Drosophila melanogaster: one gene and its partner. The protein of the gene in region 1 interacts with the protein of each later gene in a biochemical or structural test. Each region holds a gene or a part of one and is shown on either strand. Other genes may lie near its edges.

The links. Proteins that work in one complex are often made in the same cells at the same time.
Region 2: the proteins of Dap160 (region 1) and shi form a complex in vitro, tested with the Drosophila melanogaster proteins (2 studies listed by BioGRID, with this or other methods).

Annotation. Positions count from the first base shown.
Region 1 is NT_033779.5:21,139,335-21,144,166, forward strand, and holds the start of Dap160 (dynamin associated protein 160), read right to left. Parts: upstream 3,014-4,832; 5' UTR 2,905-3,013; intron 2,679-2,904; 5' UTR 2,455-2,678; coding exon 2,291-2,454; intron 2,219-2,290; coding exon 1,844-2,218; intron 1,675-1,843; coding exon 1,235-1,674; intron 1,157-1,234; coding exon of another isoform or gene 1,145-1,156; coding exon 883-1,144; intron 823-882; coding exon 675-822; intron 609-674; coding exon 342-608; intron 269-341; coding exon 1-268. Other genes in the region: pths (porthos), read left to right, coding at 3,972-4,169, 4,230-4,488, 4,678-4,832.
Region 2 is NC_004354.4:15,890,279-15,895,221, reverse strand, and holds the start of shi (shibire), read right to left. Parts: upstream 3,023-4,943; 5' UTR 2,971-3,022; exon of another isoform or gene 2,641-2,970; intron 2,395-2,640; 5' UTR 2,218-2,394; coding exon 2,072-2,217; intron 530-2,071; coding exon 456-529; intron 388-455; coding exon 1-387. Other genes in the region: CG15916 (uncharacterized protein), read right to left, coding at 3,735-4,550. UniProt on the Drosophila melanogaster protein: Microtubule-associated force-producing protein which is involved in the production of microtubule bundles and which is able to bind and hydrolyze GTP. Implicated in endocytic protein sorting.

The DNA of each region.
Region 1 (4,832 bases):
TCGTACCCGTCTCCTCCCAAGCACTGGAAGAGCCTGTGTCCCAGGCCGACGATACACTAGTTTCGTTCTTTCGATTGTACTTCAATTCCAGCACCGAGGTGCGCTGCACATCGTATTCCTTGTACAGATCCTCGCACTTTGTGATTAGAGCGGAGAGCTCGGCCTTGAGCTCAGACATCTGTACATCATTAGTGTTGATGTCCTCCTTCTTTGACTCAATCTCTTTACTGATATTCTCGACTTTATCCTTTATTTGGTTAATAATTAACTGTTGAAAAAGGTAAATAGTATTTTAGAGAATCCGTTGAATACTAAAACTTTACGTATATGCCAAAGCTCACCTGCTTGTGGGCGAATGCGGCATTCAGTTGCTCCTGCTGCGCATTCTCCCCTCCCAAGGCAGCCCCGCTGGCCTTGCTCTTGGCCTCCCACTTGGCCCTCTCTTGGGTGAGCTGAAGCAGTTTAGCGTTCTGTTCCTTAATCCGCGCTTTCAGCTGCGACATTTCGGACATGGAAGTGTCGCGCTGGGTGCGCATTCCGTCGATAACGGTCTTTACGTTTGTCACGCCGGCACGAGTGTCGCAAATCCTCTGCGAAAGCTCCTTGATCTGTAATTAAGCCGAGTTAGTTAGATAGGCCAGCCATATAGATTAGTTGTACTTTAAGAACATTACTTTTTCATTCAGTGTGCTGAGCTCCACATTAAGCTGGGTGTTGTGTGCCTTCTGCTTTAGAACACGTTCTTGTTCCCTCTCCTTCTGTGCGTTCATTTCGGCAATTCTAGCCTGCTCCCATTCCTGCTGGCGCTGCTTCTCAAGCTCCCTGATACAATAGAAATTGTATACATTGTTTTGTCGCTCAAAGCAAGATAAAAGTCCTTACTTTCTGGCCGCCTCCTTAGCCTCCAGTTCCCTCTTGCGCTGCTCCTCCTTCTCCATCTCAATCTCTCGCTGGCGTTGGAGCTGTCGCTCTAGTTCCTCCTGCTGCTTACGCTCGGCCTCCAAACGAGCCTTTTCACGCTTATCAGCCTCTTCACGCTCCTTTCGCTCTCTCTCTTCCCGCTCCTTGCGCTGCTGGTCCTCCATAATTTTGCGCCTACGATCCAGCTCTGCTTGACCCTTAACATAATTCTCCTTTCGCTTGTCTTCGAAGGAAGCTGGTGAACGCGAAATCACAAGTGTTAATATATGGAATATATTCACATGTTTGGCAACGGAGTTAATTAAGCACTTACTTTGTCCAGGTAGTCCGGCTGTTGGGTCAGCATCCACGACTCCCACTCCGCTTTGGGATGAAACAGATGCGTGTCGGGAGGCCGGCTGTGAGCCAGGACGGGATACCACCCCTGAGACCGATCCCGGTCGCGATTTTATTTTGCGCAAGTTGGGCGGTACCCATTCCTGGGGCAAGGTAACCGGAATTTTCTCACCAGCCATGGCCTTCTCGCATAGGAACATGGCAAGAATAAACTCGTCGCAGTTCAGCCGTCCATCGCCGTCGATGTCGGACAGCGTCCAGATTTGGGCCAGCGTGACCTGGGGTAACTTGCTCTGTACGAGAACGCCGCGTGCCTGGGATCCAGTTAAGTAACCAGATCGGGTGCGATCATTAGCATTGAACACCTGCGTGTATTTACGCTTTTGGGCAGCTTGAACGGCCCATTCTCCTTGGTTGCTAAAAGGATAGAAGTTGATTGAGGAGTTAAGAACAGATACGATATTATATATATGTTTTTGCTAATATTTCAATAACTAAGAATATTTGAAATTTAATTAATTAAATTATCTCTTCTTTGCTACATTAATAATATTAAATCATTAATTCGATTCTAAGTGATGCTTACACAGACTCGATCGATGGCGCTCGCTCTGAGATAGACGTGTGGCGACTAGGTGGATTGCTGGTGGGGGGTGTGGGGCCAGACGGCACTGAGACTCCAGGCGGTGAAATGACAGTAGCCACAGCCACCGGTGGAGCCACAACGGGAACAACTGGAGCTACTGCCGGAACTATTCCCTTGAGTGGATCCAAAGGGCTCAAGGAGCTTGTGGAGCCACGTGGCGTCATCGAGGGGACATCGCCGGTAAGAGACGACAGCAGGCTGGGAGGAAGAACCTTGGGAACGTCCATGCCGCGCAACTTGAGGTTGATAAGCTTGCAGGCTATGCTGAACTCATTGATGTTCATCTTGCCGTCGGAATCAGTGTCCGCCAGAGCCCTGGAGATAAGAAAATGAGTAAGAATTAACACTCTTATCGGTGGATGATTCATGGGGGCGTAATATACATACCATATTTGGCCCAGGATCAGGGGCGGCAGCTGGGACTGCAGGAAGAACCCTTTGGCCTGGGCGCCGGTAACGAATCCTGCCTGCGGCTGGAGTGCCCTAAACTGTTCCTGGTACTTCAAACGCTCCCTCGGGGTCACAGCCCACGCATCCACCGCCGAGTTCATTTTGGGCAAACACTTTATCCTAGTTTCCACGGAAAGCTCTTCCTCTTTATCGTCCTTTTTCCGTATGCGTGTGTATTAGTGCGCTCTCTTCGGCTACTTTTGAGTACACATCAAATACAAACTCTTTCGCTCCGCACTCTTTTCGCCGCTCTCTTTACTACGTCTATCGCCTATTCAGTATCCACCACCCCCACAAATTTTCACAATGGATTTTTATGGTTTACCTATAAAGCATTTCCAAAAATATTAAGCGATCTCAATGGACAGGTTGTAAAGATAGATTGCCCCCTTTACTCGCTTTCTGAAGGTTTTAGTTTCTCTTTAGTAGGCGTTTTCACTTGTCAACCGCATAGCCACGAATTAACTGATAAGTAATGATGTGGTATGGTCCCCGCCAACGCACACGTTATTCTCTTATATATCCCTCTTAACTGTAATTTTGTTGCTTACTTTTCATCGGAACAAGAAAATTTTGTATTTGCGTAAATTTTAATCAATATTTTATATGATAGGATCCTATATCGACGAACGATAGGCTCCGATAGGTACGGACTAATAATCGAAGGAGGGTGACCGTCGCTTGTTTCTGTGATTATAGCAAGCAAGTGTTGAAAAGTACGGTGACCTTAAGTTGGATGTGACTATTCTGCAACGTTTTTGTTTTTAGCCGCTAACGGATTTTTAAATAAATGAAACAACTACTGACTATGAGTAATATATTAATTATATTACTTCTACAGTGAACCTCATAAAAATTATGTCGGCAGTATGATGCATTTAACACAATACGAAAATGTATACCTAACCAAAACATCAACAGATCGCAATAAACAAAATCGAAGATTAAAATTCGAATATCCAAAATTATAAGAAAATGTTAAGTACAAGTCAGTTAAATTATTTCAACTATTTTTTTCTTTTATTGTCTTTAATATTTCTATACAATTAAAAATGACAATTATTCAGAAATCTTTTGTTCCGGATTTAACGGAATTGTTAATAATAGCATCAATAACATTTGTGTATGAAAATGTCAAACAGTTTTTATTCGTTGACAGTTCATGACAGACAACCCTCTAATTGGCGTTTCATTAATTTAAAATTGCGCGATGGAAAAAGATGTATACCAAATTTGTATTCACCATCTATTTTCAAACATTGTTATATTAACTGAAATGACAAAATCACAATATTAAACAATTTTCTAACAAATTACGATTTTATACAAATGTGAATATATTTCCGAAACAAACTATTTGCACTATAACTAAGTCCTGTAATTAAGATCATGGTTCAGTATGAATGAGTTACAAATTTTATTAAGTGTGCATGTGATATATCGCACATTAGCTATCGAAAGTTATCATGAATCTGCACTGTTTTAAAGACGCAACTATATCGATAATATCGCAAATAGTTCTATTTCTATTTTACCGCCTCTAATTCTTTTATTTCGACCACGTGCTGCTATTGGTAATGTCCGTACCGTGAAATTTTTCTGAAACTCATGTAACAAAATGTCGGAAACTTCAGAGGACGAACAGACGCAGCTACAAACGAGTGACGAAGAGGAGGATCTAGGTAGCGAGGAGGAGCAGGAAGATGAAGATAACAATCATAAGGAAGGGGACAGCGAGGCGGCACTAAGTGGTGAAGATGATAAAGGCTCCGAGGACGACGCAGCCGAGGAACAGAAGCTAACCTGGAAAGATCTCGTATGAGCCCCACTATTAATTTAAATTAAAATTTAATCGAATGGCCATATTTCTTCAAAGGGTCTCAATGAGGCTTTGTGTCAAGCATGTGACGAATTGAAGTGGAAGGCGCCTTCGAAGATCCAACGTGAGGCCATTCCGGTCGCCTTACAGGGCAAGGATGTAATTGGCCTAGCGGAGACCGGTTCCGGCAAGACGGGCGCCTTCGCTCTGCCAATTTTACACGCCCTTCTCGAGAATCCGCAGCGGTATTTTGCCCTCGTGCTAACCCCCACGAGGGAACTGGCATTTCAAATTGGCGAGCAGTTTGAAGCCCTTGGTGAGTTTTCGCATAGTTTATGTGCTTTTAATTCGCAGTGATGTTAAACCTGTTTTGATTTTGTGTATCAACGAAAATATGAAATTATAATTTTCTTATTCGTCACTACCTCTGAGTAAAAAAACCTTCCCATTTATCGTATTCTTGAATTTCCTTCTGCCAAACTTATGCTAGCTCTGTTTTTTTCAGGTAGCGGGATTGGCATAAAGTGTTGCGTGGTAGTCGGCGGCATGGACATGGTAGCCCAGGGTCTTCAACTGGCCAAGAAGCCGCATATTATAATTGCCACACCGGGTCGCTTGGTTGATCATCTAGAAAACATGAAAGGTTTTAACCTTAAGGCT
Region 2 (4,943 bases), on another chromosome or scaffold:
CCAGCTTGGTTATAACGCCAATGGTTCGCACACCCTGTGGATCCACCTCCTTGGCCAGCTTGAGGGCATCCGAATTGGCCAGATCCGTATTGGCCGGGGTCACAGCCAAAATTAAACAAGTCTCTTTGCGAATAAATTGGAATATCATCTGCTTAATTTGCTGCTCAATATCCACCGGTTGATCGCCAATGGCCACCTTTGTCAGGCCTGGCAAATCGATCAGGGTTAAATTGAGTACGTGCGGCGAGTAGACGCGCAAATTAATTGGAATGTTTGAAATGCCTTTGTTACTACCGGTCACACGATCCGTTTCATCTTCGATTTCTTTTCTGATCTCATCGAAGCTGGAAAACTTCTTGCCTTTAATGTGAAGGAACTCGCCATATTCTGCAATAAATATCAATGTTAGCATTAGAAGATAGCTTCTCTTTAATCATATCAAATGCTCAACTTACCGGTAACTCCATTGATCAGTTGCAAGATTAGTGGTCTCCGAGTTACGATACCAGAGCCGCGCGGCAAGAAATCTCTGTAAAATGGGGAAAACGTTTTGTATTTAATAATGGAATCATAGAAGTCTTTGGTTTTTGGATTGTGGAGCCTGTTCATCTAACAATATTACTACTGGGCTTAAGAAGTATGTAGAAAGCATTAAGCCTAGTATCAAAACATTTTGAAATTGCATCGAATAATGAGTATTTGAGTTGCCAATACTAAAAACTTAATGGAAATTTAACTTATGACTTGCAGCTAGTGTTTAAATTTCCAAGTGAGAACTTCAGGACTCCAAAAGTGTTGGGCATTGTTTAATACCACTGAGTACTTAAAGTAAAGCTATTTGTTAGCTAGGCTAATAAATCAAATGGTAAATGGGTCATTTTGAACACTCTGGTCACCTACATCCTGTTCGCACTGACCAGAGTTAGAAGAAGCCTTCATTTTCCATTGACATTAAGACTTTGGCCTGCCGTGGCCGTGGGTCTCGCTGCCTCTCTCGCTTCCTCCGATGGCTCAGTGGTGTCAGGTGGGCGGGGGGCGGGGTAACCACCCTAATTGACACACATACATACATTCATACATACATATAAAGCACGGCGCATGCGAAATCTAACTGGACTATTTTGAACATAGTGGACTTATGTAAGCACAAACTTTACATGGCTCAATGCAGTTTGTAAATACATGAATGGGCATATTGATTAATGTTCTTTTTCAGCGCACCCCCCCCCCCCCTTATTTGCAAGCTATGAAAAATAAATAAATCGACTCTAAAGGAGGTCAAACTTTTACAAATATATTCGAAAGTAAACATATAGAATGTGAGTTACTCTACTCAATCGTTGGGCAAGAGTGGGGAAAAACTTAAATCGCCGACACACTATCATTTTGGCCTTATCTGCATTTTTTTGGGGCGTAAGCCATTGTTTTCTTTATATGTTTGTATTTAGAGTGGACACTAACAAAGAAAAATGAGAGACAGCGCAGGCTTATAGATACAAACACACAAGAAATCGCATTGATACATACAATTTAGATTTCTGTTTAACAAAATTCAAAATACGTATACGTAGATGTTCTACAATTCGTTTTGTGAATATAGTTTGCAGAGCTGCGGGGCTTTTGGATTTTCAACAGCTTTGTGCAGGTGAAAGATAAAATTCTTATTATCATAATTAAGTTAAGACCACTGATATGGTTTGGTCATTATGAGCAAGTACACTTGTTTCGTAGACACCAATTATTGATTGTTAATAAACAACCAAAAAAAAAAAAAATAATAATAATGCCTGAAAGCGAGTGCTATCAGCGATTACTCATAGTTTTTCAGTAACATTTAATTGGGCATTCCACGAAACGCAGACATAATAGAAAGAATAGCGCTACTTTTCGCTGAGCACTGGCGTGCAGAAAAATCGATTCGCTGCATGCCAAAGAGGGGTCTCTTCAGGTCCATTATCAATCACAATATATGTAGGCTAGATATTTGGGGTGCTGATAGGGTGATATGGTATGATAGTATGATCCCATATGAGAGGATAATATGCTGATAAGGCGTGCGGGGGATACTCACTTGCCCACAAAGTTCTCCAAAACGGAACTCTTGCCAGCTGACTGGCCACCGACCACCGCGATCTGCGGCAGATCCAGTTGCATGTGGACGCCGAGCGATGTGAACGCATCTTGCAGCTTGTTAACAATTGTAATTAAACTATCCATTGCGGCGAGGTCCGATTTCCCTCACAATTAGATTAGATTAGATATCAGATCAGATCAGATCGAACTGCGATCCCAACTCGTCCGGATGTTTGTGTTTTTACTGCTCAGCTCCCGGGTCTTTTTTTTTTCTATGCTGTTTCCTTTAATCGCTGGCTTTACTTCACTGCACACACTCCTCTGCAAAATACAATTGCTGCATTATAAATACTTTCATGCGTTCCATCACTTTTCTTTTCGTTTGTATAGATAACACAAAAAAAAAATTGACAAAATTTGTGTGCGGCGGTGGGGGTGGTGGTTAATAACAAATATGCGTAAATCGTGGGGGAATGGGGAAAATTGCAAACAGAAATCGTTATTGGAGAGCACTCATGAGTTACTCATTCTCCCACACGATTAACCAACCCGATATATTGTATGTACCACCACAATAACCTTTCTTGCTTCTTCGGATTATAATGGCGATGTAGCGAAACTTATTGGAATCGGAATTGGAATCGCGAAGAAGGTAAAGACGGGTATGATTGTTGGGTTTTGCGAGCAAAAGTGTTTATCGACATTTACACGAAAATAATTTGTATATATACTCCCAAACGAATTTATCATCGACTTTTCCAATTTGTCACTTATTTCTCAGGCGTAACTGTGTTGTGTTAGTGTAGATGTCATGTTTATCGCCACAAAGAGCGCACTGCGATTTGGGCTTTGGCTTGGTCTTTTAAACAAATATTCTTCTTATTGTGCAAAACTGACAACTATCACCACACTCCGCTTCCAAATCGTTTCAATGGATTTTTTCGACTAAAACTAGAGATGCAAGAAAGTAATCAATCTGTACCCGATAAGCTGGTCTGGTCTGATTTTTTTTGGTATAATTGATAGGGCTGGGTGAATCACTCGCGATACATCGATATATCGAATAGTTTCCGTATGCCGAAGCTAAGTGTTGGTTTCGATAACAAGTCCAGTGCTTTATCCGACATCGATATCAATTTAAGCGCAAGGTCGCCTACTATCGCAACTATCAAAAACAGCTGATTTGATTACATTAACTTACAAGTAATTATCTATCTATTTATTAAATTAAATGCACATCTACAATATGCATATCCTGAAGGGAATATATAACCAATACTAAAAGCTTATAAAACTATTCATTTTATGCGCATGTCCGGCTTTTCTGCGTTTTTGCTTTATATCGATAACAGATACAGATGCAGTGCGCAAGCTTTAAAAGCATAATAACATAATCGAGTATGGTAATGATTTGACCTTTGACATTCAATTTTAAGCCGTTAAAGCTTTTTTTTAGAAACGCAATCGATACTCTATTTTAAAACCACTCAACATGATGAACTAGTTGGGATAAAAGTAGCCAACATTTCAAACTTATTGGAAAATGATTAAACGTTTACAGACCCTACCCCTATTTTCAACTTTAGAACCCAATTTACATTGGATTGAATAACACTTTAATAATTAACATTATGTACATAAGTCGAGGGATTTAACAAACGTTAGGTTTTCGCAATATTTTGTCTATGATTAACCCAGGCATCTTTGGACTTGCGCATCTTGCCGAGAATCTTGTCCATAACTAAGCTATGGTTAAAACTGAGGAAATCCTGTCGCATCTCCGGCCATTCCTCATCCGCAGCCGTCTGACAACTCTGTGCGTCGCTTTCTTCAACTTCCGCATTTGAACTAGAGTAACTGTGCTGAAGATCGATTTTGGACAGAACCTCGTGGACCTGATGGAGACCAGTGCTCGTTTTGTCCCGGACAAACTTGATCTTTGGCACTTCGCCCATCAGATGGAGCTGCGATAGCTCGTGCTGCAGTTTGCCGCTCATGCGATTCAATGTGTTCTCGAGCTCTTGGTTCTCCCCGCCATCCTTGCCCATCCAATAGACATTGATGCGGGAGAAGTCGCTGGTGATCTTGACATAGGAAATCTGCACTCCGTGTCCCACGATGGAATCGGCAACTGCGCCGGTGGCCAGAATATCAGTGATGTTCGTCATGAACAACTTGTTCAGAACAGACATGCGTCGATTGTTGTGGCTGCAAGTTGTCTTCGAGTGTGGGGTTCCAAACTTTAAGGCGTGCAGCGACTTTTGATTGCCTGATGTTCCTGCATCGGGCGATGGATACCAATGGCTTTTGCTGCCTTTAAGCCGATTTCCAAACAACGAGCCAAATATTTTTCCCTGTCGCGTTACGTTGTCTTTGCTCGACCTTTTGGAGCTCTTGTTTCGCGAAAGTGCCAATTGGCAGGCGTTGTTAAGAACGGAGTGTCCATTTTGTAGCCTTAAAACACGAATGCTTAACATTTAGTCTAGTTGCCTTAAATATATTTGCTAGCTTAGATAAAATAGAATGCAATACAAAATATAATGTGGAATAACATGAGTGAGACCAGCCACTTGCGTTTTTAAAATGCGTTAGAGATGGACGATAATTTCGAGCACTCTGGACCACTTTAATTTGGGGGATAGCTTATTTGCACTTCATTTAACTTCATATCTAAGAATTCACAGAATAAAAGTTGATTTTCGACAGTTGCTTGCAGAGTAACATGCCATATAACAGGCAAGTGTTTAAATAACCAAGTTTGCTCATTTTTATTTAATAATTTAAATTGCATTTTAGTTGTTGTCTTTTCCGTGTTTCAGATTATAAAAATATTAACATATATTCTATTAATTTGGAATAACATCGGAAAA